7 linked regions of the Mus musculus genome follow. The protein of the gene in region 5 purifies or fractionates together with the protein of the main gene of each other region. This does not show direct contact. Links are inferred from orthologs where the notes say so. Each region holds a gene or a part of one and is shown on either strand. Other genes may lie near its edges. The genes, in order: Bag5, Cul4a, Stub1, Hspd1, Ambra1, Dnajb1 and Dcaf7.

The links.
Region 1: the proteins of Ambra1 (region 5) and Bag5 purify together in Homo sapiens (affinity purification with mass spectrometry, with the first as the bait; 3 studies listed by BioGRID). This does not show direct contact. The link is inferred for Mus musculus from reciprocal best matches to the Homo sapiens genes AMBRA1 and BAG5.
Region 2: the proteins of Ambra1 (region 5) and Cul4a purify together in Homo sapiens (affinity purification with mass spectrometry; 11 studies listed by BioGRID and IntAct, with this or other methods). This does not show direct contact. The link is inferred for Mus musculus from reciprocal best matches to the Homo sapiens genes AMBRA1 and CUL4A.
Region 3: the proteins of Ambra1 (region 5) and Stub1 purify together in Homo sapiens (affinity purification with mass spectrometry, with the first as the bait; 3 studies listed by BioGRID). This does not show direct contact. The link is inferred for Mus musculus from reciprocal best matches to the Homo sapiens genes AMBRA1 and STUB1.
Region 4: the proteins of Ambra1 (region 5) and Hspd1 purify together in Homo sapiens (affinity purification with mass spectrometry, with the first as the bait; 3 studies listed by BioGRID). This does not show direct contact. The link is inferred for Mus musculus from reciprocal best matches to the Homo sapiens genes AMBRA1 and HSPD1.
Region 6: the proteins of Ambra1 (region 5) and Dnajb1 purify together in Homo sapiens (affinity purification with mass spectrometry, with the first as the bait; 3 studies listed by BioGRID). This does not show direct contact. The link is inferred for Mus musculus from reciprocal best matches to the Homo sapiens genes AMBRA1 and DNAJB1.
Region 7: the proteins of Ambra1 (region 5) and Dcaf7 purify together in Homo sapiens (affinity purification with mass spectrometry; 3 studies listed by BioGRID and IntAct, with this or other methods). This does not show direct contact. The link is inferred for Mus musculus from reciprocal best matches to the Homo sapiens genes AMBRA1 and DCAF7.

What each region holds. Positions count from the first base shown.
Region 1 is NC_000078.6:111,710,457-111,714,409, forward strand, and holds the start of Bag5 (BAG family molecular chaperone regulator 5), read right to left. Parts: upstream 2,801-3,953; 5' UTR 2,588-2,800; exon of another isoform or gene 2,071-2,587; intron 957-2,070; 5' UTR 932-956; coding exon 1-931. Other genes in the region: Coa8 (cytochrome c oxidase assembly factor 8), read left to right, coding at 2,837-2,962. UniProt on the Homo sapiens protein: Co-chaperone for HSP/HSP70 proteins. It functions as a nucleotide-exchange factor promoting the release of ADP from HSP70, thereby activating HSP70-mediated protein refolding.
Region 2 is NC_000074.6:13,104,249-13,108,422, reverse strand, and holds the start of Cul4a (cullin-4A), read right to left. Parts: upstream 2,801-4,174; 5' UTR 2,668-2,800; coding exon 2,520-2,667; intron 2,230-2,519; coding exon 2,114-2,229; intron 1-2,113. Other genes in the region: Pcid2 (PCI domain-containing protein 2), read left to right, coding at 3,613-3,648. UniProt on the Homo sapiens protein: Core component of multiple cullin-RING-based E3 ubiquitin-protein ligase complexes which mediate the ubiquitination of target proteins. As a scaffold protein may contribute to catalysis through positioning of the substrate and the ubiquitin-conjugating enzyme.
Region 3 is NC_000083.6:25,830,134-25,834,197, reverse strand, and holds Stub1 (STIP1 homology and U box-containing protein 1), read left to right. Parts: upstream 1-1,278; 5' UTR 1,279-1,344; coding exon 1,345-1,506; intron 1,507-1,953; coding exon 1,954-2,152; intron 2,153-2,236; coding exon 2,237-2,402; exon of another isoform or gene 2,403-2,566; coding exon 2,567-2,654; exon of another isoform or gene 2,655-2,832; coding exon 2,833-2,889; exon of another isoform or gene 2,890-2,979; coding exon 2,980-3,096; exon of another isoform or gene 3,097-3,187; coding exon 3,188-3,313; 3' UTR 3,314-3,564; downstream 3,565-4,064. Other genes in the region: Jmjd8 (jmjC domain-containing protein 8 precursor), read right to left, coding at 3,608-3,688, 3,764-3,898, 3,992-4,059. UniProt on the Homo sapiens protein: E3 ubiquitin-protein ligase which targets misfolded chaperone substrates towards proteasomal degradation.
Region 4 is NC_000067.6:55,077,933-55,081,432, forward strand, and holds part of Hspd1 (60 kDa heat shock protein, mitochondrial), read right to left. Parts: intron 3,241-3,500; coding exon 3,141-3,240; intron 2,416-3,140; coding exon 2,170-2,415; intron 1,299-2,169; coding exon 1,124-1,298; intron 776-1,123; coding exon 597-775; intron 509-596; coding exon 356-508; 3' UTR 1-355. UniProt on the Homo sapiens protein: Chaperonin implicated in mitochondrial protein import and macromolecular assembly. Together with Hsp10, facilitates the correct folding of imported proteins.
Region 5 is NC_000068.7:91,728,657-91,732,937, reverse strand, and holds the start of Ambra1 (activating molecule in BECN1-regulated autophagy protein 1), read right to left. Parts: upstream 2,801-4,281; 5' UTR 2,559-2,800; intron 1-2,558. UniProt on the Homo sapiens protein: Substrate-recognition component of a DCX (DDB1-CUL4-X-box) E3 ubiquitin-protein ligase complex involved in cell cycle control and autophagy.
Region 6 is NC_000074.6:83,606,850-83,610,974, reverse strand, and holds the start of Dnajb1 (dnaJ homolog subfamily B member 1), read right to left. Parts: upstream 2,801-4,125; 5' UTR 2,644-2,800; coding exon 2,433-2,643; intron 2,428-2,432; exon of another isoform or gene 2,215-2,427; intron 1,162-2,214; coding exon 581-1,161; intron 387-580; coding exon 156-386; 3' UTR 1-155. UniProt on the Homo sapiens protein: Interacts with HSP70 and can stimulate its ATPase activity. Stimulates the association between HSC70 and HIP. Negatively regulates heat shock-induced HSF1 transcriptional activity during the attenuation and recovery phase period of the heat shock response.
Region 7 is NC_000077.6:106,035,378-106,039,671, reverse strand, and holds the start of Dcaf7 (DDB1- and CUL4-associated factor 7), read right to left. Parts: upstream 2,801-4,294; 5' UTR 2,549-2,800; coding exon 2,411-2,548; intron 1-2,410. UniProt on the Homo sapiens protein: Involved in craniofacial development. Acts upstream of the EDN1 pathway and is required for formation of the upper jaw equivalent, the palatoquadrate. The activity required for EDN1 pathway function differs between the first and second arches.

The sequences.
Region 1 (3,953 bases), on a different chromosome or scaffold from region 5:
GCAGCTCTGTCTTGGCCCTCAGGTACAACTCAGGAGGGCTCTGCGCCTGGAGAAGTTCATTTTTTATCTCTCTCATCCTCTTGAGAACATTTTCTATTTTTATAATGGAATGGTTCTGTCCCAGGTCAAATGCATGTGTACTGTCAGCTTCCTCTTCTAAGTCTAGGTATTTCAGTAATTTGTTGATATCTTCCACCACCTCCCTCCGATAATTTCTGATCTCTGTACGCCCACACACATCTAGAGCATCTAAGTCAGCAATCAGTCCTGACAGCACGCAGGATAAGTGCCTGCAAGTCTCGGAACTGTCCACGCCCATCAGAAGTGCGATCAGCGTCCCTCTGGCCTTGTTCACCTCGCACATGACAGAGTTGATTTTGGCCACTGAAGGATGCACATCCTCAGACAGTGGCAGGGACGGCTGCTTCTTCATACAGTCCTCAATAACCTCCTGTACCGCGCAGATCTTGGTGAGCGTGCGGTACCTGGCTTTCCGCAAGGAGACCTTCCCTCCGGTCTTCACGTGCGTCAGCCTCAGAATGATGTCCTGGATGCCTTCCTCAAACTCGTCAGTCACACAGTTGCCTCCGCTGTAAAAGGGCACAATCTTGTCTTTCACAAGGGCCTGAGCCTCCTTAAAGATATTCTGGATTTCGATGCGGTGTGGGTGGTTGGCATTCTGCTCCAACTCCTTGAGGAGACGTTCTGTCTCCTGTGCCGCCCGCTTCCTAGCTTGCTGGATATCTCCTTTTCCTTCCGTATCCACAGAGTCAATTTCAAAAAGTTGTTTGGTCAGAATCCTCTCCAGCCTCTTGTAGTTCTTGTCATCCGACAGGCCGCTGAAGCCGACCACTTGCGGCTCTATAGCCTTTACTTCCCGCTGGATCTCCTGAAGCCTACTAATGGAGGGGTGTTGGTTTCCCATATCCATACTTCTGTGTTCAGTTTCACAAGCACTGAAAGATAGCAAGAATGATAACGTATTAGTCTCTGCAGGACAAGAACCCACTCTAAACACTCCTTCTTAGTACACTTGTTAAAAGGGCTCATTCGGGCTGTGGAGATAATTTTTCATCAAGTGTCCAAGCTGGAATTCCAGAACACATGTGGAAAAAAAAAAGCTGGGGCGGAGCTGGAGAGAGGGCTCAGTGGTTAAAGGTGCTGGCTAGAGGACCTGGGTTTGATTACCAGCACTCACATGACAGTGCATGACCACACAGGTAACCCCAGTCCCAGGGCATCTGATTCCCTTTCTGTCTTCAGAGGCACCAGGCACACAGTGATGCACAGACATCCATGCAGGCGAAGCGCCAACGCCCATGAAGTAAAACAGAAAAGCCAGGCAAGCCAGTGCCGGGGAGACGGCGATAGATGGATCTCGTGATTCACTGGCCAGCCCAGGTTAGCCTAACCGAGGACCTTCAGGACCATGGGAAGCCCCACTTCAAAAGCCAAAGTCAAAGGACACCAAGGAAATGATGGTGGGCGGGCAGGGAGGCCAAACTCTGGCACCTGGGCATGCACCAAAATACACAAAAGGTTTCGTCAAAGGTGTAAAAGGTTGCTTGAGGAAAGGGAAGATGTGACATGTCAACTCCCTCTCCTGAAAACAGCTGGACAGGAACAAAACAAAGCAAGCTCACCGGTGTGCTGGTGTATCCCTACAATCCTAGCGTCGGGGATACAGAGGAAAGGGAACTACGAATTCAAGATCACCATGGGCTACTTGGTGACCCTAAGAATTCAAAGCAAAACGGAAATAGGGGAACACGGTAGGGATTTGAACGACAGACAGAAGGTCCTCATGATCCAGCCTGGGTGGATGTCTAGGCCTATGAATTCTGTCTTAAACCATGAGAGCGAGCTGCGTACACTGCCATTCTAGTCAACCCACCAGGTTAGCAACACAATTTCCTTAGATCCCCCCCCCCCCCATCCTAATCTACTCTCTGGAACCAGTTTGGAAGTTAACAGTAGCTCTTCCACACTCACAGGAGCACCATTCGTCCAGACAGCTAGCTAACTTTCTACTTTTCTGAAAGAGGAGCTACGAAACTTCCAAATCCTCACCCTGACTTCAAATACCCGCCGCCCAAACCTGCCGACTGCGATTAACTCGGTCACTCGCCTCCCGGTATGTGCGCTTAGAGCATTTCCCACGCTCTCAGGTTTCTGTCAAACAGCTCACTTCTGGCGGGCAGGCCACAGAACTCAGTCCCCGGGAGGGTCCAAGCCCGGCCCTCGCAGAGCTTTTACCCCGGGAGGTCTGGGCGGCGGCGGTCTTGGCTGCCGCGGGGGGCTGCGAGGTGGGAGATCGGCCCTTCACGGGGAGCGGCACCGCAGCGGTGCCCCCAGCGGCATCCCCCCTCGCCCTTCCCGGCTAGGTCTGACCCGGGCAGCCGGTGAAGGGGCCGGCGGAGGCGGCGGCAGCTACTGGCCGCGGCGGCCGCTCCCGGGTCTCGGCCCGGCCGGACGCGCCGCCGCCTGACCTCACAATGGGCGCGCGGCGGGCGCGGGCCTGCGCAGCGAGGGCGGCGGAGCGCCCGAGGCCGGGAGAACGGAGCTCGCGCCCTCGCCCCACGCTCACCTGGGCCGCACGCGCCATCGCGCCCCGCCACCTACACTTCCGCAGCGTTGTCGCCGTCCTCGCAGAGCGGGCCCGTCAGCAGTGAGCCCGGGGAAAACTTGTCCTCTCCTCGTCCCGCGCGGGCCCCGCCGCCCGGCGTCCGTCCCAGGGAATGCGCACGGTCGGCCTCGCCGCGCGTCGGCTCGGGCTTTGCGACGCCGCCGTAACGCCAACCTTTCCACTGTCGCGATCCTGCCGTACGCGCGGGCCATGGCGGCTTTGCGGCCCGGAAGCAGAGCGCTTCGCCGGCTTCTCTGCCGGTCCTTCTCCGGCGGCGGCGGCGTTAGGTTGGCCCGTGAGCGCCCTACGGATCACAGGGATGCGGCGTCCAGCCGGGTAAGCGGGACGCCGGGGGCGCTGGCAGGGAGGAAGGCCGCCGAGCAAACCCACGCCGCCTGCACCTCTCCGACGGACTGATGATCACTGCCCGGGATCCGCTGTGGAGAGCGCGAGCCTTGCTTATCCCCGAGTTAATTCCCATTTGTATTAACACAGCTCTTGAAGGGTGTTCTTTCTCATTTTCGCATCGTTAAGATTAGTGTTCGACTTAAAGCCGTGGCTGACTTCATCATCCCACTTCTGTAGACTTCGCATTGTTTGTAAACGTGCACGCGATGTCAGAGATCCACAGTGCAGGTCTGCAGCAAGAATGGGCGTGAAGCCTTTTTCAAAAAAACAATTGCTGGGCTGGAGAGATGGTTCAGCTGTTAGGAACACCGAAGACAGTAACAATGCACTCACATATATAAAACTAAATAAAGCTTTTTTTTTTTAGTCAGTTGCACTTCTTTTTTTTTTTTTTTTAAGATTTATTTATTTATTATATGTAAGTACACTGTAGCTGCCTTCAGACACTCCAGAAAAGGGAGTTCACATCTCGTTACGGATGGCTGTGAACTACCATGTGGTTGCTGGGATTTGAACTCTGGACCTTCCAAAGAGCAGTCAGGTGCCCTTACCCACTGAGCCATCTCACCAGCCCTCAGTTGCACTTCTTTGCAACAGAATGCTTTGCTTAAGGAAGGCCTAGGTTGCCAGGCGTGGTGGCCCACGCCTTAATCCCAGCACTCGGGAGGCAGAGGCAGGCAGATTTCTGAGTTTGAGGCTAGCCTGGTCTACAGAGTGAGTTCCAGGACAGGGCTACACAGAGAAACCCTGTCTCGGGAAAAAAAAAAAAAGGCCTAGGTTTAGAGTCTATCAGTCATATGAAAACGCTAAGGCTGGAGGTAAAACATTAATCAGTGGCTACTAACACTTCAATGACCACTAAGCTAGTGATAGAGACTAGAGAGCTTGGTTTAAGCAATAATGAAGAGAGGGAAGGAGG
Region 2 (4,174 bases), on a different chromosome or scaffold from region 5:
TTACCGGGGAGGGAAACAGTCTACATTTTCACTGAGCGGCTGGCAAACAACTCTATCTTAGGCCATTAAAATCTACTGGGACAAGTATGTTAGAGTTAACCTATAGCCCCGGCACATGAGCGGCAGCCGGGACTAATACCCAGTGAGACCTTTTTTTTTCCCCATAGTTATAAGGTACACTGTCCCAGTCTTCACACATACCAGAAGGAGGCATCAGATCCCATGACAGATGGTTGTGAGTCACCATGTAGTTGCTGGGAATTGAACTCAGGACCTCTGTAAGAGCATTCTTAACTGCTGAGCCATCTCTCCAGCCCCACAGTGAATCTCGTAAAAAATAAAACCAACCGACTCTCTCTTCTCATAAAAAAATAAAATAAACAAAATAAACCTACTGGAGCACATGTCACATGCCCCCAACACTGTATTCATATGCACACCTACACATAGGCACATACTTAAAATAATAAAAATAAAAGCAAATCTTTAGGCGGGTGTAGTAGTGCATAATGTTAATTCCAGCACCAAGAGACAGAGGCAGGAAGATCTCTGTAAGTCAGACTGTTCACAGTGAGTTCTAGAATAGCCAAGGCTACACAGTGAGCCCTGTCTAAACAAAACAAAAACAAAACCTTAAATAAAATCCTCTCCTTCAATACACAATCAACTCACAAACTTAAGACAAAGAACAGACACATATACACCAATCCGTCACCATCGGCCAGTGGTCCCTTACCCAGAATGCTTGGGGCTACTAGTGTTGTGGATTTCAGATGTTTTTCTTCCGGATTAATACTTGCACATACACAATGATGTATCTGGGTACTGAGAATCAAGTGTAAACAGACACAAAGCTGACTCGTACCCCATATCCCTTGTTTTATCATTGTGTGTGTACACCAAGTGTATGTGTGGGTGCTTGTGTCACGTCAAGAGGCTGGAGGTCTGGGGATGCGTCTCCAGTCAGTTTTCTCCTTCCACCTTTTTGAGGGTTCTGAGGTTCGAACACAAGTTGTCAAGCTGGCTCTGCCAGCGCTTTACCTACTGGGTCATCTGGCTGGCCCTAGCTCGATGGTCATTTTATTCAACAGTTTTAGCATATACTGTGTTCTGTCTGAGGCCCAGCAGAGGAAGTCAGGTGTGGGTCTTTTTTTCATGAGTGCACTACAAGTTTTGGATTTGGGAGTTTGGGGTTGGGAGTGATGGGCCTGCCACAGGTTCCTTCGGGTACCACTGCTTACTTTTCTTCTTGTGCTTTCTGTAACTTACAATACACTCAGTTTGTAACCAGGATAAAACAAGCCTCTTAGGTAACTTTTAAGTAACATATAAGTAATTATTTGTTCTATCACAAACTAAAACACAGAATATTTAGCAGTTATTGTATAAAACCATGACAGAAAAGTGTGCTTGAAACAGCAAAATGTACTTCGGATGATTTTCCCCCCCTGTTGCAGACACAACTTGTCTTTAAGTTAAAACTACCAGAATCGCCGGGCGTGGTGGCGCACACCTTTAATCCCAGCACTCGGGAGGCAGAGGCAGGTGGAGTTCTGAGTTCAAGGCCAGCCTGGTCTACAGAGTGAGTTCCAGGACAGCCAGAGCAACACAGAGAAACCCTGTCTCAAAAAAAAACAAAACAAAACAAAACAAAAACCCTACCAGAATCTGTCTGCAACCTTATTTGCAATAATTAAACTACAAAACAGTGTGTGTGTGTTGGGGAGGGGGTGTGTGTGTCACAACCCAGGGACCCTACTAGCAAGTGGGGCCGTACTGAGTTCCATGTATAACACACTGGCACTCTGATAACACTGAAGACTGCTGGGGGCTCTGTGCCTCTTAGCTCCAAACACCTCCTTTCTTCTGGCGCTGGGAAAACGTACACCTCCTAAGCAGCCTGGTCTAAGCCTCAACACACAGCACTAATCCAGGGCGGCGATCCATAGAAACACCTGCTGACCCAGGGTTTCGCGGCTTCCGCTAGGGAAGGCTCGGGCCGCAGCTTCTCCCCGGGCGGGCGGGCGGACGGGCGGGCCTCCCTAGCGTTGGCCCCGGTGGCTGCTGGAGGAGGAACCCAGCCAGGTGCTCGCAGGCCCTCGCCGCCGCTCACCTGGTACAGCTCCTCCAGGTTGTACCTGATGGATGTGCTGCTCTGGATGGCCTTGACCGCTTCGTGAAGCTTCCGCCACGTGTCCTGAGTGTAGTTGTCAGGCAGCCGCGGCCTGTCTGTGGGGGAGAGAGGGTCAACGGCCGCGCGGGGACAGCACAGGCCGGGGCACCGAGGCAGGGCCCGGCCGGGCTAGCCAGGAGGTGCGGGATCGGGGCCAGCTGGGGCGCGGGGACGTGGCGGAGCGTGAGGTGCAGGGACAAGTCGGGTTGCGGCGCCGAGACGGGACAGTGCGGGAACCAGGCGGGCCGGGGCGCGGGGACAGGGCCTGCCGGGCAGCCCCAGGAGGCCCTGTCCGAGCGCGCGACCCGCCGGCCGCCCCGTTCGCTCCTCACCGGAGCGCACCCACCTCGGAAGTTCTTGATGACCAGCTTCCTGGAGCCTCCCGTGCCCCCCGGCTTGGCGGGGCCACCGGCCAACGCCGCGGGCTTGGTGAGGCCGTTGGTGCGGCCCATGAGAGCCGAGACGCTGCCCTTCCGAGGGCCCTCGTCCGCCATGGCTGGGCCGGACGCCGCCCCGCCCCGCGCCGCCCGGCTCCTCCTCCTGCCCTGCGCCCGCTCCGTGCGCGCCCGGCTCCTCCTCCTGCTGCTGTCGGGCTCCGCCCGTGAGCGCTCGGCTCCTCCTCTTTCTGCTCGCGGCCGGGTCCGCGCGCCCGAGGCCCAACCGCCGCGGCGCGCACCGGAACGATCCGGCTCCTCCTCCTATGCGCGAACTCCGCCCAAGGAGGGCTCGGGGACTCGCAGGCGTTCTACAACGAATGCTCGCGAGAGGGCGCCGTGACACCTGCACCGAGGGCTCCGGAGCTCGCCGCCCCACGTCACGTCGAGGGCCGTGACGAGGACACCCCGGCGAGGACTTGAGTGGATAAAAGCACCCGGCAACCTTGCCTCCTGGATCACCTTACACCTAGGATGCTCAGGGATGCTGCTCCGTGCGCTAGCGCGCCGAGGGGTTGGGGACGGGATGCTCTGCACCCATTTATCTGGGGTGCCCCAGTGTGAGATGTGGGAGGACTCAGGAACACATCCTAGGAGTGCGCGGGACGCCTTCCCAGTGGGCTCTGGACTTTGGTTCCGGGAGAGTCAGGAGCGCCTCTGCACACGGAGGGTTGGGGATCGGGTCACCCTCATGGGAGAGGGGTGCGAGGAATCGGGTCGCTAGCACACCGACGTGACCAGGGACACGTTCCCAAGTCGGTTGGGAACTCCTCCACGTCAGTCCTCCGCCCTCGCGCGCGCCCCCGCCGCACCCGAGGCGTCCCGGCGACCGCGCTGACAGCTGCCCCCAAAGAAGTGCTCTCACCACCGGCTCGGCTCGGCTCGGCTCGGCTCGCTCCACCTTCACCCGCTCCGGAACCAACGTGCAGAGGTTACCGTGTGGGGACAAGGAGCGGAAACGGACCTGCGCCGGAAGTGAGGCACTCAACACCCGCGGCCGCCGCTATGGCGCACATCACCATTAACCAGTACCTACAGCAGGTGGGTTTCGCTTGGTATCCTGGCCTACGGGCCACGAGGGGTGAGTCCTGGGGCCGGGTCGGACGGTGCCGGGGGTCCTGCGGCTGGCCTCGAGGCGAGGAGGGTGTGCTGCACGCGGTGGGCAGCCTGCCTTGTTCGGAAGTTGCAGGTGCTGCCCGGTGGACCAGGAGGAGGAGGATCCGAGGTGGAGGTAGCAAGATCGGGGCCACTTGTAGAAACGGTTGTCTGTGTAGTCAGCGCTGCTGTCCGCACGAAGCACGTTGTGTCTCTTGGCAGCGGTGCCCATCAAGGCTTTACTTAAAGCCTGGGAGTGGCACAGGCAAACACTGTTGCATCCGGGTGGAGGGCCGTGATTGCGTCTTCTAGGGTGTTGAAGATGTGAATCCCACTAGGCAACACACCTGGTGCAAGGGGCAGCCAGATAGGGAAGACTGATGAACGTTTTAACTGACTACACTTGCTGCTCATGGCTGCTTATGAACCTTGGATTTGCGCTTAGCTCTATTACCAAAGCCCCCTTTTCCTG
Region 3 (4,064 bases), on a different chromosome or scaffold from region 5:
TCCAAACGCAAGCCCACAACAGAGCTAGGTTCACTTGGCCTGGGTCCTGTAATTCTTGGCAGGTCCTTGTGGGAGGCCCAGTCAGGGTGAAGGTCAGGCAGCAGGTCTGGGCATACATCTGCCCCCCAAGTTTGCACAAGACGAAGAGTCTACAACTCTAAGACACTCACTAGTGAGGTCCACAAGGGTTCTGGGGTCAAGTTACTAACCACCAGAACCATGATGGGGCCCTGGATGACCTCTCAGGCCCCGCTCAGCCCCGCTCAGAAAGGCAGTGAACTCTTGCACCTGGGCTAGAAACAGCAAGTAGTGCTTGAGTGTGTACTGGAGGGTTAGCAAGCTAGGAACTGTAGCCACCGCCTCTTCGTATATGAAAGCTGCAACCCCAGAAACCTCTGCCTCCAGGACCACTGCAAAGAGTGACAAGGAGGTTCTGGGGATAGCTTTTTTTGAGCTCCTAGAGCCCCCACCCAACTTGGGCAAAGATGCTACCTACTCACTCGAGGCAGTGGCAGAAACCACGCAGCGAAGTTTGACTGCGGCGCCCAGATCAGCAGAAAGCCGAGTTCTGCTTCTCCAAGTCCGGGGTTGGGGGTGTTAGCGGCCAACAGCTGATGCAGCAGCGGCTAGAAATGCCTCAACGACAGACCATGGGGTCAAAGGGTCTTGGTGCAGGCGCTCTCCAAGGAAACCAGCCGGCTCCGCCCTTGAAGAAGCTCCTCCCCATGACCGCGAGAAGGGCAAGAGTCCAGCCGTGCACCCGCAGCTACTTCTATAGCAACCGCAGAAGGTCCTTCGGTGTCAGCGTGTCACGTGCTTGTTTCTCAGCCATTAATGGCCGCAGGCAGCTCCTCCCGATTCCCGAGGAAGCCCCTCGAGAGCGGTCTGATCTGCGGGCCTCTCTTCTACCCTCAATTCCGCCTTCCTACCGGCGGTCCAGACGTTCCCAGGCTGTCGCGTGAGCCCGTGTGTGCCCTGGTGGTGCGCTAGGACCCGGGCCTAGTGACCGGCCCTCGGAAGGCCACTTCTCAATGACCGCTGCCACGTTCGCCCAGCTTGGGGCCGGAGGGCGGGGCTTGAGCGCCGATGGGCGGAGCCTTGGTCTGAGCAGGGTAGGTCTCGGTTACTGTAGGGCGGGGCCTGTAGAGCGCGGCGGAAGCTTCTCAGAGCTAAGGGAACTGGCTCAATCCACGAGGCTCCGCCTTTGCTCACGTGTCCCCATGCCAGCTCCGCCCCACACCGGAAGTTCCGGTGGCGGATCGCCGACCGGGCGGAGCTGATCGCTGCGCGGGCTGCGAGATCTAGGTGGCCGGGCGCGGAGCCCAAGCCGTGCCGCGCGGCGCCATGAAGGGCAAGGAGGAAAAGGAGGGCGGCGCGCGGCTGGGCACTGGTGGCGGCGGCAGCCCTGATAAGAGCCCGAGTGCGCAAGAGCTCAAGGAGCAGGGAAACCGGCTCTTCGTGGGCCGCAAGTACCCGGAGGCGGCGGCCTGCTACGGCCGCGCCATCGTGAGTGCGGGAGGGGCGGGGGCGGGGCCCGATGTGCCTCCCAGTTTTGTGATCCCGGACAGGGTTTCTGGCAGCCTGGACTCGATGGCTCGCTCGCTCCCCTGGTGCCCGGATTGCTGTTCCCGAGTCTAGGGCTGATTTGACTGGGAACTGGCGGGCGGGATGCTTGATTAAGTAAGACTAAGGATGACACCAGGAGCTCTTGCCCCTTGAGATTTCCAAGCCCAGAGCTTGTAGAGGGGTTGTGGGATTTCTCTCAAAAGCAGTTGGAGGCAAGAAAGCATGGCCAGAATCCAGAGCTCTTGATAATTCGGAAATCTCCAGTTCCTCTATTCCAGCCATGGGCCCCCAAAGCTGGAGCATTGACCAGATCATTGGCTTTCAGCTTGCTAAATGAGAGGGGATCAACTGAGCCCACACTCTTTGACGCCTGGTCTTGGTCCCCAGACTCGGAACCCACTTGTGGCAGTGTACTACACTAACCGGGCCCTGTGCTATCTGAAGATGCAGCAGCCTGAACAGGCACTTGCTGACTGCCGGCGAGCCCTGGAGCTGGACGGGCAGTCTGTGAAGGCGCACTTCTTCCTGGGGCAGTGCCAGCTGGAGATGGAGAGTTATGATGAGGCCATTGCCAATCTGCAGCGAGGTGGGCTGACAAGATGCAAGGTTGAGGGCACCTTGGGGGACCAGGATTGTTGACAAGTGTAACCAAAAGTGTCCACTCCCCTAGCCTATAGTTTGGCCAAGGAGCAGCGACTCAACTTTGGGGATGATATTCCTAGTGCCCTTCGCATTGCTAAGAAGAAGCGCTGGAACAGTATCGAGGAACGGCGCATCCACCAGGAGAGTGAGCTGCATTCATATCTCACCAGGCTCATTGCTGCTGAGCGAGAGAGGTGGGTCCCTCCCCCAGCAGACACTGAGTCACCAGCACAAGTGTTTTTATTGAAGGACAACAACCGGTACATGGGAAGCCCAGGAGGAAAGAGGCCTGAGATGGGGCGGGCTCTGTGATTTCCTGGTCAGGGCCATCACCAACTAGCTTCTGGTTAACCCTCAGGGAACTGGAGGAGTGTCAGCGGAACCACGAGGGTCATGAAGATGATGGCCACATCCGGGCCCAGCAGGCCTGCATTGAGGCCAAGCACGTGAGGGTGCCCCTAGTCCACATGTGGGTCATTGTGTGTGTGTTTGTGTGTGGCATGAAAAGTGCCCCAGCCTTTGGTGGATCTGTTGGCCCATGCATGACATGAGTGCCCTGGTGGACAGAGTGTGTGTGTCTGTGTGGAGACAGGAGTTGCCCACACATGGCACTCAACTCTGCAGGATAAATACATGGCAGATATGGATGAGCTCTTCTCTCAGGTGGACGAGAAAAGAAAGGTGAGGACCCCCGGAAGCTCATCGGCTGCTGCTGGTATGGTGACCCCCACAGCCCCCTCCAGTTCTAGACATTTTCCCCTTGTGCTATAGAAGCGAGATATCCCTGACTACTTGTGTGGCAAGATTAGCTTTGAGCTGATGCGGGAACCCTGCATTACACCCAGTGGTATCACCTATGACCGCAAGGACATTGAGGAGCACCTGCAGGTAAGGAGGGCCCATGGAGACCGGGCCATGGAGAGCCTTGGTACCCGGATCGGTATACTCAGGCCATTGAACACTCTTGACTCTGTTGCAGCGTGTGGGCCACTTTGACCCTGTGACCCGGAGCCCTCTGACCCAGGAACAGCTCATCCCCAACTTGGCCATGAAGGAAGTCATTGACGCTTTCATCTCTGAGAACGGCTGGGTAGAGGACTATTGAGGCCCCATGTCCTGCCTGGCACCCTGGCCCAGGAGGATCTGGAGACGGAAGCTCCAGTCCCTGTATAGTTTGTGTCCCTGGGCCTGCCCCCATCGGCCCTGCTGATGGGTTCTGAACTGCTCCCCTTCTCAGCATACCCCTTGCTGGACCATGAGCCTCCCTTGTCCCCCTTCTGGGCTGGAGAGTGGGTGAGGGTGGGCTGAGGTTGCTGCTGCTGCCACTGTCCTGTAATAAAGTCTGTGAGCACTACATTGGCATGTGCTGGTGCAGTGGGCTTGCCAGTTGCCTGTCTGGCTAGCCAAGGAAGGTAGAAATGAAGACACTGGTGTCCAGATTGAGTGTGGCATGCCACCACCGATCAGGAAAATACAGTACCTGGGAGAAAAGAAAAAAAAAATTTTGATTCATGGCTTTTTGAGTTAGCCCAACCCCCACCTACCAGCTACTGACTTCACCAGCCTGGATGGTACATTCTAGAGGCCGTGCTGACAGGGCTAGAGATGGGTATATTTCCAGCAGCCAGGCCAATGTGGTCTTGTTAGGGTGGAACTCAGGTGTCTTCTCAGGAGGGTAGAGGAACCAGCGCTGGAGGCAGGAGTGTAAGGTCACTATGTGTGCAATGGACTATAGACACCAGATTTACACACACACATAACACACACATAACACTGTACTGACCTTCCGACCATAGATAACCTCTGAGAAACCAGGCCCATGCCAGTGGAAGGGTACCCCAGATCCAGCTCCTGTG
Region 4 (3,500 bases), on a different chromosome or scaffold from region 5:
CTGAACTCTCATGTGGTGACACAGCGCTACAGTCCTGATGCTCACAGAACAGTAGAGATGCCTCAGTGATTTAAGTTGAAAGCAGGACACTGGTATATGGCTCTTGCACCCAGCATCAGGAATGTACAAATGTCTTTATTCAAAAATACAAAATAAATTATCTGTAGGCATGGACAATGACAGCAGTAAACCATTATATATCGTCAAAGGAAACCAGTAACTGATGATTACAGTGGTCAGCCAGCCTTCTCTTCAGTCATTTTCTCCAGGTGACTTCTCTGAAGTTATTGGTGAGGAACCTGCCTTGAGCTTCCTGTCACAGTTCATTGATAAGGGCAAAGCACTACTCTAGGAGTTAGAACATGCCGCCTCCCATACCCCCTCCCATGCCACCCATTGCACCCATTCCAGGGTCCTTCTCTTCTTTAGGAATTTCTGTCACTACAGCTTCGGCTGTAGTTAGCAAGGAGGCCACCCCAGCAGCATCCAGTAAGGCAGTTCTCACAACCTAGAAAAAATTTTAGTAAAATAATTTATGAATAAAAACCATGCAGAGAGCAAGACATCCAGTGTGTATGAAATGCTGAATCACTTACCTTTGTTGGATCAATGATCCCTTTTTCCACCATGTTCACAAAATCTCCAAGCATGGCGTCATAACCAACTTCTGAGGAACTCTGCAGAATTTTCTCAACTATCAAAGATCCTTCAACACCTGCATTCTTAGCAATCGTCATTGCAGGAATTTTAAGTGCTCTTTTAATAATTTCTATACCTATAAAACAAACACATTTTTACAAATTTGCTTTGTCTTCTCTTTCTGGGGAGCCAGAGGACTTAGTTTAATCCTTAGCACCAATGTAACTCCAGGTCCAGGCTACCTAATGCTCCCTTCTGGCCCAGAGAATACTGTAAATGCATAGCACACAAGACATGAAGGCAAAATGCACCCCCCAACACACACAAAATAATTAAAAAGAAAACAAGAGTTTAGTAAATGAGAAGACTTATCCAATCCTACCATAGGTGAAATAATTCCCCCTGTAAAATGTGTTACATTGCTAATCAACAATACTTTTCAATAAGAATGAGGCCACAAACTCATTTGAAAGATGATCTTTACCTATTTTCTGGTCTTCATTAGCAGGCTTTAATGAATCCAAGGCTGGGATGCACCGAAGCAGAGCGCAGCCCCCTCCTAGAACAATGCCTTCTTCAACAGCTGCTCTTGTAGCATTGAGAGCATCAGTAACTCTGTCTTTTTTCTCATTCACTTCAACATCACTTGTTCCTCCAACCTAGAGATTAAGAAATTCCAGTTAGCATGACCTTTCCCATTCAATGACCACCTAAAGCCACCTAGAATGCAGACATAAGCTGGGTACAGCATCATGTAAGTCATGACCCCTGCAGTTGAGAGGCTAAAGCAGGTGGGTTACACCAACTGAGGCCAGCTAGGGCTACAGCAGAGTTCAAAACAAAAGCAACAACAAAAGAAGCAACTCTAGAATAACATATATATTATAATGTGTCCCACTGACAAAATCCTGAACCTCCCCACACAAGCTGTACTGCTGTGTGAGAAAAGGATACTAGCCAAACAGCAGTGCACATGCCTTAAATCCCAGCACTTGGGAGGCAAAGGCAGATGGATTTTCAGTTCAAGGATAGCCTGGTCTACTAATTGAGTTCTAGGACTGAAAATCCTGTCTATAGAGTGAACAGAATGAGTTCCAGGACAGTCAGGGTTACACAGAGAAAAAGGAAAGAGAAAAGAGCGAGACTGGGAAATTGGGTAGGGGTAGACTGCACAACACAGCACAAGAACGGTTTCATACTCATGCATAATACCAGTAGGGGATAGATGCCTATTTATGGCTCAGAAGGCATTGGGATATAACCCAAATGGGCCAAAGGTCTTGCTTGCCCTGCAAGCCAATGGCCTGAGTATTCCTGGAATCACAGTGGAAAGGTAGATGACCAACTGCTGGTAGTTGCCCCCGATTGCTACATGTACTCTATGGAAAGTTTGGTCATATGCACACTCAAAAAACAAAACAAACTAAAAATTCTGGGAAAGGAGATATTCATTTAGTTACTATTGGTAAATACCACAGAACCAGTATCACGATACTCAGCCTAAAATGTTTACCGGCAAGTCAGTCTTACCTTCAACACAGCTACTCCATCTGAAAGTTTAGCAAGTCGCTCGTTCAGCTTTTCTTTTTCATATTCACTAGTTGTGATGTCTAGCTGCTCAGTGATTTCTTGAATACGTTTTTCAATGTGAGCTTTGTCACCTTTTCCTTTCAAAAGCATGGCATCATCTTTGGTGACAATGACCTCCCCAACTTTTCCTAAGTCATGAGCTTGAACATCTTCAAGATTTAGATTCAACCCCTCTTCTCCAAACACCTATAAAAGCAGTGTGCTATTAGTGGCTTCCATTATACCAGGCTTATTACTATATGTCACAGATATTTTGTAAGAAGAAACAGCTTTTCAGGGCTAGCAAGATGTCTCAGCAGTCAAGAGCACTGGAAGGCTATTCTGCTCTTCCAGGTGTCCTGAGTTCAAGTTGCAACATGGCAGCTTGCAACTGTCTATAAACTGCAGTCCTATGGGACTGGATGGACGCCTTCTGGTATGCATACACCATACAAACAGGCAGACAAAACATCCATATACATAAAGCTTAAAATATCCAGAAAAAGAAATGCTGTTTTTCTTTGAGATGTCAAGACCACTGGTATACCAGAACAAAATCACTTAAAGTTTTGAGAAGAATGTTTAACTATGTCCATTCTCACGCCAGGCTCAGCAAGTTAGAAACATGACCTTAATCCAATACCTGTGTACCAAGCAAAAAAATAGCAAGCCAGGCGTGGTGGCGCACGCCTTTAATCCCAGCACTCGGGAGGCAGAGGCAGGTGGATTTCTGAGTTCTTGGCCAGCCTGGTCTACAAAGTGAGTTCCAGGACAGCCAGGGCTATACAGAGAAACCCTGTCTCCAAAAACCCAAATAAATAAATAAATAAATTACTTAGCAACAGTCCTATCTATTTATGAAGTATACATTGTATTTGCAGCCTGGAAGCATAGACATCACTAAGCAAAGCAGTATGACAAGATTTACTTACTGCACCACCAGTAGCAATAGCCATATCTTTAAGCTGGTTCTTCCTATTGTCCCCAAATCCTGGAGCTTTGACTGCCACAACCTGAAGACCAACTTTTAGCCTGTAAAGAACATTTAACTGTGTAAGATGTAAACTGAAGGGGGAGTTGGGAGAAAGCATCTAATTTAGTTCCTGGTAAGTTCTAGTACTATATACAACTATTAGTACTATATAACTCTATCCCAATCCTACTCTTTTCCCACAACTCCTGGTCTGAAAAAAGACAAGATGGGGACCTCTACTCATCAAATCTTGTTCCAAGCAGATCCCCTTCTTAAACAAATGCTGCCCTTATATTGCAGACACAGTTGTGAGTCAGTA
Region 5 (4,281 bases):
TCTTTCTTTTTTTTTTTCTGAGAGGGTTTCTCAGCCTCGAACTCAGAAATCCGCCTGCCTCTGCCTCCCAAGTGCAGGAATTAAAGGTGTGAACCACCAACACCAGGCAGCTTATATCTCTTAATTATCCACAAGAACCATCTTATGAAAATACAGAATAACTCAGTCATAATGTGAACATTTCTGAAATCCCAGGAAACAGCCCAAATTGACTTCAGTAATTGTCAAGCAGTGGTTCACACTGGTAATCCAGTAACTGAGGTGGAGGCAGGAGGATCAAAGAGCTCAGGCCGTCCTCAGCTGCACAGTCAATGAAGCTAGCCTGGAATATAAGGGATCCTGCCTCAAAAACAGCAACACACAAACAAAAAAAAGCATACAAAAATGAATCAAGTAGCCAGGCAGTGGTGGCTTACACCTTTAATCCCAGCACTTGGGAGGCAGAGGCAGGTGGATTTCTGAGTTCGAGGCCAGCCTGGTCTACAGAGTGAGTTCCAGGACAGCCAGGGCTACTCAGAGAAACCCTGTCTAAAAAAAAACAAAAACCAAACAAAAAAAAAAAAACAAAATGGCTCAGATTACTATCAAGCCAGATGACCTGAATTCACTTGGGAACCGTGTGCCAGAGAGAAATGACTCCTGGAAATTGTCCTCTGACATCCATATGCATGCATGGCATGCCCATGTGCAGACAGACACACAGACACACAATCAATCATTCCATCAATCACCTTCATTTAAGTATTACTGATCTCAGGGGTAGGGATGTAGCTCTGTGGAAGAGCACGTGCGTGTGACCTTGGGTTCAAAATTCCCAGCACTTCTAAAGGCGAGAAATAATAATAAACCTCACTGACCTTACACATACATTAAAGGAAAAATTAGAGAAACAATGTAAAATTCTATCATCTTTCTAAAGTTCCTGAAGCATCTTTTTTCTTTTTTTCTTTTTTTTTTCGAGACAGGGTTTCTCTGTATATCCCTGGCTGTCCTGGAACTCACTTTGTAGACCAGGCTGGCCTTGAACTCAGAAATCCGCCTGCCTCTGCCTCCCAAGTGCTGGGATTACAGGCGTGCGCCACCACGCCCGGCCTGAAGCATCTTAAAACTGTGCAGAAACTGATTTTCACAATCTATACACCCTTAAAATCAACTCTCCTATGACTTCTATATAGTGTGGAAACTTACCCAACATCAAACAACCTCCAAGACTTTTTTTTAGGATCAAGACATTTGATTAAATGAAATTAACAAAAACACTTAGACCTTAAGGCCTTGAAAAAGAAAAGAGAGGGCTGGCGAGATGGGTCAGCGGGTAAGAGCACTGACTGCTCTTACAAAGGTCCTGAGTTCAAATCCCAGCAACCACATGGTGGCTCACAACCACCAGTAATGAGATCTGACACCCTCTTCTGGTGTGCCTGAAGACAGCTACAGTATACTTACATATAATAAATAAATCTTTAAAAAAAAAAGAGAGAAACAGTAAAGTTCACAAATGATTCATCTTCAATTATGTTTGAATAATTTCTACACAGACTTTTGAACTCTTGAATAAAATGACTAAATCACTAACCAAATAAAAAAAAGTTTCAAAAGAGATTCCTTGGATTCCCTCCTAGAAAAGACCTCCACAAGACAAGAACCTGAATTCAAAGTCTTAACCATCTTAAGCATCTTCCATCTTGCACTAAGTACTTAACACCATAGCAGAAAGTTTCAGAACAAGCTGAAGAGTGGAATCAGTATTAATCAGAAGTAAAGTGGAAGTAAACAAATTATTTATGAGTAAACAAAACTAAACTATCCTTACTACTTTTGCTAAAACGATACAAACTTCGAAAAAGCAAACCCAGTCAAAAACATCACTTGCTCCCTTAATGTCTGAAGCCTCCAGTAACACAATATATGTTTCTAAGAAAGAAGAGTTCCAAAAAGTCAAATGAGAGACTGTTAAGTAAAAAGTGACCAGTAAAATGGGAGAATTGTGAACTGTTAAAGACAAAAAAAAAAAAAAAAAAAAAAAAAAAAGAACCTTACAGCACATTTAATGATCTGTCGAGGTCACAGGGAAAAGTCACGTCCCCTACCTCAGCCTCGGTTTCCCTACCCCAAAAGACTATAAGTGATATTTCGTTCCTAGGAGCTGGAGGGCCTAGTTTCAATAGCCTCCACCTACTCAAAAGGGCACTCCGAGGCTGAACTCAGTAGGGGTCCCCAGTGCAACTGAGCATGACATCCGGAACCGGAGTTGTAGGAAAGGAGAAAGGGAATAGGGTCTAAGAAAGCCAAGTTCCTACAATCTAGGGGTGACGACACGCGTCCAGGACCCGACATCCCCTCTCTACGGAACCCGGCCGGCAGCTTCAGCATCTCTCCCTCCTTCCGGCTTCTCGCTCAGTTCCGGGCCGCCCTCCGGCCGCGCCCCCGGGCGCAACCCCCTTCACAACGCGCACCCCGGCGGGCCGCGCGCTCGCCCACCGGCCGGCGCTAAGGTCTCCTCCTGCCTTGGGCGGAAGGATGCGGGACCGGGCCTCCCAGGCTCCTCCCGGGCCTACCTGCGAGGAGAGTGAGAGCTCGGCCCGAAAGCCAGCGAGCGCACGGAGCCACGGACGGAAGGCGGGGAGAGGCCGAAGAAAGCGAGGGGTCCGCTCGACCGACCAGCGGAAGAAAGCGGCCAGAGCCCGGGGCCTCCGGGATAACTCAGTCCAGGACCTGGCACAGCCGCCGCCGCTCCGGAGACATCAACCAAGAAGACGCCGCAAAAGATCATCGAACACACGAACGCCCAGACATCAAAGGAAGAGCGCCCCAGCAATCGTTCAAGGCACTGCAGCCGAGTGCCGAAACATTGCTCAGCTCCTGCTGCAAATCCGGCTGCCTTCCTAGGCATAAATAAACAAATCCAGATCATTAAACTATAGCGTAGAGTAGGCTGGGATTCTGCCATTTTCTGTTGGTGACAGAGTGTTAAAGTAATTTAGAGAACTAAATTTTTGAGACAGGAGCACGCTTGTAATCCCTGCTTTTTTTTTTTTTTCCTGGTACTTTTTTTTTTTATTACGTATTTTCCTCAATTACATTTCCAATGCTATCCCAAAAGTCCCCCACACCCTCCCCCCGTAGTCCCTGCATTTTAGGAAAGGAGGCATGAGGATTTGGAGTTCAAAGTCATAGTCAGTTAAGCACAAGGCCAAACTGGACTATATGAGACCTTGGTGGTTTTTTTTTTTTGTTGTTTTTTTGTTTTTTTTTTTTTTTTTTTTTTTTTTTTTGGTTGGTTGGTTGGTTTGGCTAGGTTTTGGTTTTTGTTTTGTTTTTTGAGTGTGTGGTTTTCGAGACAGGGTTTCCCAAGTGCTGGGATTAAAGGCATGCGCCACCAAAGACCTTGTTTTAAGTGAAAAAGGAATTAGCCTTTTGTGAGCACATTGATTGAAGATAAATCATAGCAGAATAAAGCTCGTCTTAATAGTTCAACGACTGCCGTACACTTAGAGACTTCTCACACTACTTGTCCCAGTTGAACAAATGACTTTACCACTTTATTCTTGGTTTCCCCTCAGAGCTGAAGAACAATCGCTATGAATGCTCCAGGTCAGCTTTAGAAGAATATCCAAGAGAAAATGGCACACCTTAATGTGGGAAGGGAAAGTTCCTGTACCTTGTTTTTAAATTTTTATTCTTTGGTTTTGTTTTGCCAGACAAGGCTTCTCTCTGTGTACCCTTGGCTGTCCTGGAACTGGTTCTGTAGACCAGGCTGACCTCCAACTCACAAAGATTTGCCTGCCTCTGCCTCCGGAGTGCTGGGATTAAAGGTGAACACCACAACCTCCCAGCCTATTCTATTCTTTCTCAAAAAAAAAACCACTTACTTCTCTTTTATTTTCTTCCAAGGATCTAAAGCCACAGTCCACAGTGTGCTTTTAGTTAGCTTCGTAGCTAGTTCACTAAATAGTTTTTAGAGACAGGATTTTGTGTGGCACACACACTGGTCTTGAACTCTGTGTATCCAAGAATGGCTTTGAAATTCTGATGTGCTTGCCTTCCTGTTCCACATTTGCAGTGTGCCTGAGGGAGTGTGAGAGACTGCAGTGGAGGCTCACACTCTATAGCTTGGCTGGCTTGGAACTCACTATGAAGCCCACGCTGACCTCAAGCTCACAGCAATCCTTTTGCCTCAAGCTAGTTGAGTGCTGGGATTATAAGCAACCATGCCTGGCTTTTTTTTTTTTTTAAACAGAATCTCACTATGTAATCCATATTACTTCAAAGTCTATCTTC
Region 6 (4,125 bases), on a different chromosome or scaffold from region 5:
GTGCGCGACTTTGAAAGATTGTAATATATTCTGTGGAAAACATTCGGCAGAGCAAAAGCCCTCCCTGGGCCCTCCCGCAGTATGCAACCAGTGGAACGGTCTGGAGATCTGCAGCTCTGAAAGCCCCTGGCTCAGTCCTTGAGGAGTGCAGGTGGCTATATGGGAAGAACCTGCTCCAGGATGGTTCTGGATGAGACGGGAATCCTTTCCGGGAAGATCACTTCAAACTCGATAACAAGGTCTCCACGTTTCTCAGGTGTTTTGGGGAGAGGGAGGCCTTCTCCAGGGACTTTCCGCCGCATACCAGGCCTGATGACATCTTTGAATACAACAGGGATGGTCCTGCCGTCCAGAGTAGGGACATTCACAGTGCAACCACAGAGAGCCTAGGGAAGCAAAAGGACAGTGTCAGGCAGTGGCTGGCTTAGGAGCTTCACTCCTCCAGACCGTCCGGAGAAGGGTCAGGTCTACCAGACCAGGCCCGCTGACACCCCACTCCAAAGCCCCCCCAACCCCACAACCCATTATTCTCACAGCAGCCATCTCTTTTTATGACTCCTCCACCCACCTAGCACCTTACCTCCCGAAGGCTAATCCTGGCTGGATAGATGACATCAGAACCATCTCTCTTGAAGATATTGTGTGGCTTGTCCTTTAAAACAAAGACGATGTCTGCTGGAATGTTGTTCGAGGTCTGGTCCCCTTCCTTGGGAAAGGTGATTTTGGTCCCTTCTTTCCAGCCCCTCTTCACTTCGATGGTCAGGATCTTATCTTCATTTCGAATGCTCTTTCCATCAGGGTTCAGCCGCTTGTGGGAGATTTTCATCTTCTTGGTACAGCCGCTGTAGATCTCTTCAAGGGAGACCCGAAGGTCATGGGTGACTGGAGGATCTTGCTTCTTCCGGGTGGGCTCTTGAGAAGGGCGGGAACGTCCAAAGTTCATGTTGGTGAAGCCACCCATACCCATTGGAAAGCTAGAGAATGTGTCATCAATGTCCATGCCTTCTTCCCCGTTGCGCTGCCCAAAAAAGGTATCAAAGGGGTTTCTGCCACCGAAGAACTCAGCAAACATGGCATGGGGGTCTCCGTGGAATGTGTAGCTGAAAGAGGTACCATTAGCACCACCACTGCTTCCTCCACTGGGGCTACCACCCTTCAGGCCTGGAAACCAAAACCACAAGTCAGGGTTACTGCTGGAGAGTCAGCCCCACCTCCCTCCACCCCCAACACTTCAACACACTTATAAAACATAAAACCCCTGAAACAAAGAGCTCAGAACCCCAGCACTCTCAAGACAAGTGCAGACTGATCTCTGCAAGTTCCAGACAAGCCAGAGCTCCACCATGAGGTGCTGGAGAAATGGCTCAGAGCACTGGCTCATCTGGCAGAAGAACCAAGTTCAATTTCCAACACCTACATAGCAGCAGACCATGGTCTAACTCTAGTTCCGGGACCTTTAATGCCCTCTTCTCTAGAAGCATGTGAATGGTATACACATATACACGGAGGCACACGCTCAAATAAATTGAAAAACAAAGTTCCAGCAACAGTGAGGTCCTGTCTCAAATAAATGGTCACATTTTGTTCCTTTTGCATGTATTACTGTCAATGCCACGTAACACACAAACTTTCGTCCAGAGTAGCCTCAAGGCAATCCTCCTGACTCAAATACCCCAGAGGGGGGATTGTCACAACATCCGGTTCCTTTGGAAACAGGAGCTTATTACCCTGTAGCTCTGATTTGAAGCAAATTCACAGCGTTCCTAATTCGGTTTCCCATGTGGAGGTGTGAGCCCCCGCACTCTGCTCAACAAGTTTTGCTCTTAGTAAAAAGGCCACAGGAACTATAGCGGGAGGGATTTTATGTATATATTAAAAAGCTTGTTAGTCAAGGACGAATCTCAAGTCTTTTAACTCCCAATGGCAATAGGAGCAAGAAACACACTACTCCGTTTTACTTCCTGACAACATATTCGGTAGTAAGGCCTCTAGATCTCGGTGCGACCAGGTTTACGTGACTGCTCCATCCTCCCAGCTATGCTGTTACCATCTTACAGAGAAGCTCCTACGCACTGTTACCAAAAAGGCTCAACCCTGGGTGAGCGAACACTGAGCTTGCGGCTAGGAAAGAGAATCAATACTCGGGCAATTTTCATTCCCATCGCGACCGCCGCCCTCCATCTGCACCATTCCGGCGCTGTGCAGGCGACCGACCGGGAGGGGCTGCGGCAGACGTGCTAGAAGCTTCTGTGCCAGCGGCGCGCCCAGAGCTCCTCCTCCTGTCTGAGGCCGCGGATCAGAGGGTGAAGGAGGCGGCGCCGCCGCTAGATCCCCGGAATGCCTGTCCCCGGCCGAGGTCTTGGAGAGGCTCCGAGTGCCTCGGTTTCCCCGCCTGTCAAACGGCGGGTCACCCCGGCCGCGCGCACACGTACCTTCCTCTCCATAGCGGTCGAAAATCTCGCGCTTGCGCGGGTCGCTGAGCACGTCGTAGGCCTCGGCGATCTCCTTGAACTTCTCCTCAGCGCCGGGCTCCTTGTTCTTGTCCGGGTGGTAGCGCAGCGCCTGGCGGCGGTAGGCTCGCTTGATCTCGTCGTCGGACGCGCCGCGGGCCAGGCCCAGCGTCTGATAGTAGTCCTTGCCCATGGCCACCGCCGCCCAGCTGTCGCCGCCTCCGGCTCCGCTGCTGCCCCGTCCCGGACTCTATATACCCGTCCGGCGGAAGCTTCCAGATCCCGCCAGCCCTCCAGAACCTTCCGCCCCTCCCGATGCGCCGCACGACACCGGCCAATCGCTGCGGCCCGCTCCGTGACGCAGCACATCCGGGGTGGGACCCGGCTGCCAACGGCTTTCCGCGCGGGGCCACGCCCCTTCCCTCTCTACTCTGGTCAACGCCTTCCTCGGGCGCGCGCGCCGGCTGCTGGGGTTCCGCCTCCGTAGCGGATCCAGCCAATCGCAACCCTCTCTCTCTCTGCGGACAGGTGGAGGCGCGAAGAGGGGCGGGGCTACAGAGACGGGCCTCTCCGAAAGGCCGCACCCTTTCCCCCAGGTTATCGCCGGCTGGGAGGTTCTGCTGCGTGACTTGTGGTAGCTACCTGACAAGTACCTCTAAGCTTTCCTGCTCTAACCCAGGGATAAAAATAGGCACCCCGCCCTCTTCTGCCCGTAGCCCTTGGTTTTTCCCGTAAGGCCGTTACTGTAAAGCGAGGTGAGACTGGTCTGCCTTGGGCTTGCTGCAGTCGGGCTGCCTCTCCGGTTTATCTTACTTCCTACTAATTCCTACTGGGTTTAGCTCGCCTCTTGGCGTTCTGATACTTGTCACTTCCTTTGCCGTCTGAGTTTACCACCAGGGCTGCGTGATTTTTTTAAAGATCCACTGGGTGCTTCGTAAATATTTCCAAATACTTTGATATAGTATAGCTTTTTGCTTTTGGTTTTGTAAGTCTGGGATGATGGCGGTCAAGGACGGAGCTGAGTGAGGAAGAGGAGAGAGCTTCAGATATTGGAAGGCATAGAGAAGCTGGAATAGTCATTGGTGGTTCTTGCAGGGAATGGGACTGCCTGAAAGTGCATGAAAGACTGACTCTCATCCTAGCACTTTCTGGCTGTGTGACCTTGGGTTGGTAGAGTAGCTTTTCTGGTCTCAGTGTGGTCATCTGTACAAAGGGAATGGTCGTGGAATATGGTGAAGTTGACATTATTCTGCATTTGTTAAAGACAAGGGACAAAGGGTGTTCTTGAAAGAGATGATTAATCATCTTGTTTAGTGGACAACTGTTGACATTCCCTTTCTGGAAGCTCTGTAGGAGGAGAGTCAGATAACCCTTGCCCTAGGCACCCCTGAGAAAAATGACTTTAGCCTTCCGTTAATGGTATAGCTGTGTGTGGTGTATGTGTTTTGATTTTCCTAACTGTACTGACCCCATGAAAACCGAACCAGTTGAGCCCTGCCCCCCGCCTCCCCATGGATTTGGAGCTAGGGAACACTTGTAGAGAAAGTGTCTTTAAAGGTACAGAGACAGAGATAGTGAGCTGGCAGTGGTGGTGCATGCCTTTAATCCCAGCACTTGGGAGGCAGAGACAGGCGGATTTCTGAGTTCGAGGCCAGCCTGGTCTACAAAGTGAGTT
Region 7 (4,294 bases), on a different chromosome or scaffold from region 5:
TGCGGACAAGTACAGTTCTTCTGAGTTTGGCATCTGTAGCCAGAGGTACCCCTCTTATCCTCTCCCACGGTCCAGCATCCTACTGCTCTTCCTTACACACTAAGGGAGTGCTGGGGAAATTGACCCTGACACTGTCATCTTGCTGACAGCCAGTCCTTCCTCCAGTCTCCCCATGCTCTGCCATTCTGTGCCTCGTCTGTCCCCTACCTTCAGAGCCTTGTGCAGTCACTCTTCACAACTTCCTCCAACCTGGGAAACGAAACCCTAGAGAGGAGAGCTACGAAGCAGGATCTTTAACTACATATCTGAGGGTTTTGTTCACGCACTGAAAAAAAAAAAAGTCTCCCAGACTGGCCTTCAAATCGGAACCTGCTGAGATTTCAGGCACGTCACCATTCTTGGCCTACTTTTCCTCATTTTTATTTTTTGAAAGATTGGTTTTTAAATTGTTGTTTATGCATAGAAGGTGTCTGACCACCTTGTGGACATCTTTTAAATTCTCATTCTCTCTTCTTTATGCATGTATGTGTACTTCATGCATGCCTGTTGGCTCCCCTGGAACTGGAATTGGGACACCATGCGGGTGGTAGGAATTACCCCTGGTTCTCTCTAGACCCCACCTGATAATCATAACCACGTTCTCCCCAGCCTGTGTGGCTGTGCATGAGCTGCCTCTGCGCCTCAGTTCAGATGAGGTAGGGAGTCAGATAATTTAGTTAGAAAACTTTTTTATTCTTGTGCTGGGGATGGAACCCAGGGTCTCATGCATGGCTGATTTTGGTTATATCAGCAGCTATGGGAAAGTGATTAATGACTCCAAGTGTTGGTTGATTTGAATAACACAGACGTGTTTATCCCACACTCAAACACGTCCACTGTGGTGTTCCACATGAACACTGTGTGTCCTAAAGTGGAATAAATTTTCTTTCTTCAAGGAGCTTATGATAACAAACAAAGGAGATATGGCACTTTTATTTTAGAAAAACAAAACCCACAAGGTAGTGGGACACAGTGGCATATGTTGGTGATCCCTGCATTTGGGAGGTGGAGGCAGGTGGGCCACATGAGACTGTCTCAAAAAATAATAACCTCATAAGACACTATGCACACCAGGACCCTGAAGCCCAGCTCCAGTTTTACTGCCACTGTGGGGGTAAAAAAAGCCACTAGAGAGGAGACAAGAAATAGGGCTCTTCACTAGGAAAGGGCGGCTCGGTACACACTCCCTGGGACTGTAAACTGCTGGTGTATGTGTGACGTCTAGACAATCAAAGGCCATCCTTTTCACCCTTTTCTCAAAGAAGATGCCAAAAAATGGTGACCCTTTCCCAGAGAAACACATGTGCTCCCGAAATACCATAAACAAACCTAAAATGCTCAAATGTTTTCACCTGACCCTTCACATATAAAACAGAAGCCCTCTCCTAGATCACTGTGGGTCAAAAATAATAAAATCTGGTTTGTTCAATGCCTTATAGCTAAATCCTAGACCACCTACTTCTTCCACTGCTCCCACCATCTTGTCATTTGTCTCCAGTCTGATGTTCATAAGAGTAAGGCAGAGTACTGGCTATAAATACCACTGGCCAAAGCTTTCAGTATCTCTGATTACTGTCATTCATTTTTTTTTTTTTAACTCAAATTACAACAAAAGAATGAAGGTAAGAGATTAGGGAAAGAAAATTCTTCTCAATACTTTCAAACCTATACCCTGCATATAAAAATTCTCTCCTTCTGCCAGTGTTTTGATGAAGTGATGATGTCCAGCAATGCTGCAAATGAATGTGTAAAGAACCACGAAAAGAACAGGTCAAACGTCATCTTTCTCTATTCAGAAATAATGGCGGGATAATGCCACAGACTAAGGTTTCCAAGGATAGGCTGTTTGGGGGAGGGTGAACATCAAGGAGCAAAACCAATGACCAATGACAACCTAGCATTAGGGCTCTGTATCCATGAGAAACACCTGAGATGGGGAAGATCTTGCAATAAATAGCCCTAACAGAAATCTCGCGTGGCCAGGAATGCACGACCACCAATCCAAGCGCCGCATCTTCCTCCACTGCCTCTCTCCCGCCCCCCACCTAGCAACAGAAGCACTGCGACAGGAGTGGGGGAAATGAGAGGGACGGAGGACATAGCTTTGGGGGTGTGACTCCGATCTGAAACCTGCTACTACCATCGAAAATCTTATCTGCCTCAGGCATGTCACAACACCGTGCCTCGGTTTCCCCCGGCTGTCAAAACTAAATAAGAGGCAACGAGTGTGACAACCTCAGCGACAGGACCACAGAGGACCCACCCCCTTGTTGTGGTCAAGGCGAGTTTGCAGGAGAGTTGTGGGGACCGGGGCTGCCGCCCACCTCGAGCGTTCCCCGCCGGCTACACGCTGAGCCCCGGCACAACTCACCTTGTTGTTGTACTCTTCCACGAAGCTGCCCAGCGCCAGGCGAAAGCGCTTGTCCGGCCGCACGCTCCAGTTCATGGCGTACACAGTCCAGGGCGCTTCATATTTGTAGATCTCCTTCCGTTTGCCGTGCAGGGACATGGTGGCGGCTGGGCCGCAGAGCCGGCCAGAGAGGCAGCGGGCTGGGGCACAAGACAGGCGGGGACCCGGGCTTGGGTCCGCGGGTCCGAGGGGAGGCGGGGCCGGGGCGGTCAAGAACGGCCTAGCCCTCCAGCGGGTCCTCGGCTACACACACTCACACTCGGCCGGGCCCGACCACCAGTTTCAAACCAGCTCGGGCAGCGCTACCACCTTCCGTTTGGGATGCCGGCCCGCCCTCTCGGAACGGAAGCCACGCGACCCCGCAGCGGCGACGAGCGTTGGCTGCCGGGTACGTCCTTTCCAAACTGTTCCTTCTTTTCATTGGTCGACACAGTTGTAGCGCCCGCGCCCTCCTTACTATTGGTGAAAATGTTTGTCATTCTGCTCATTAGCCCCGCCCAGCTCCTGGAGGCGGGCTCTTTTGAAGTCCCAAAGATCATTGGCTACCCAAGATGTCAGTCAAGGGGATAACGGCGCAGTGCGGGTGAATGGGGGCGTGGGTGGCATGGGGGCAAGTGTGCCCCTCTACTGATCCAAATTCTAGGCCAAGAGTAAAGCCTGCTATTTCTCCTCTGCTGCTGCTGTTCTGATCACCTCTCTCCACTGACAGTAACTGTCAAACCTACCTTCATGGAGGACCACCTGCGTTTATTACATCTCCCTATGTCCGGCGGTCCCTCAGTCTTTGCCAAACGGGAACTCTCTCCAGCTCCAATGCCCACCTTTTAACTGTTCTCTTTCAGGCATGATAGAAACGTCCAGGGACAGGCTAGATTGATTAAGGCTTTCCTGCGCTTTCCTACAGACACTAAAGAGACTCCTGAATTCTGGGATCGATTTGCAAATGACCTGGCTATTAGTCACTTACCTTCTTCCTCTGGGATGTTCAGAAGCCAAATGGTAATCCAACTTTAAATGCTTATATGCCATGAGTTTGAAATGCAGAAAAACCTGGATCTAGGTACACCAATATAAATGTAAATTCTTTCAACGATATTGAAAGGGGTTGTATTGAATTGTTAGGCAGTACTTTAAAACACGTTAATTTTACGTGTATTTGTATGTGCCCGAGTATAAGTAAGTGTACTACATGTGAACAGTTGCCCACGGAGGTCAGAAGAGGCATTCAATCCCCTGGAACTGGAGTTAGTTACAGATGGGAATCCAACCCAGGTCTGCTGCAAGAGCATCCAGTGCCCATAGGGCTATCCTACCTCTCCAGTCTGTAAAATACAATTTTTAATGGATACAAACACTTGGAAGCCTTGAGGGACAATAGTATACACTTATCAACCATCTTTTAGTAATGGCCACCTGTATGAACAAGTCTACTGGGCACTTTTATTTTTACATAGAGCCTAGGCATGGTGTTACACACCTCTAATCCAGCTCTTGGGAGGTAGAGTCAGGAGAACCAGAAAGTCACTCTTATCCTGGGCTACAGAGCCAATTAGAGGCAGCCTGGGCTAGTTGAGAATCTGTTTCAAAATAATAAAAGTTAAAAGAAAATTAACTGGATACCTAGGTGTGTATTTTATTGAAACGTTTTATTTCTGTGCATATCAGGAAATTTGGTCCATAGTTTTCTATTGGTTACATCATTTCTGATTTTTCAGTGGGTTAATAATGGTCTTGTAGTACAATCTTAGCGGAGGTCTATCTATCTATTTTACGGAACAGGTCTTTTTTGTTTTGTTTTGTTTTTTCGAGACAGGGTTTCTCTGTATAGCCCTGGCTGTCCTGGAA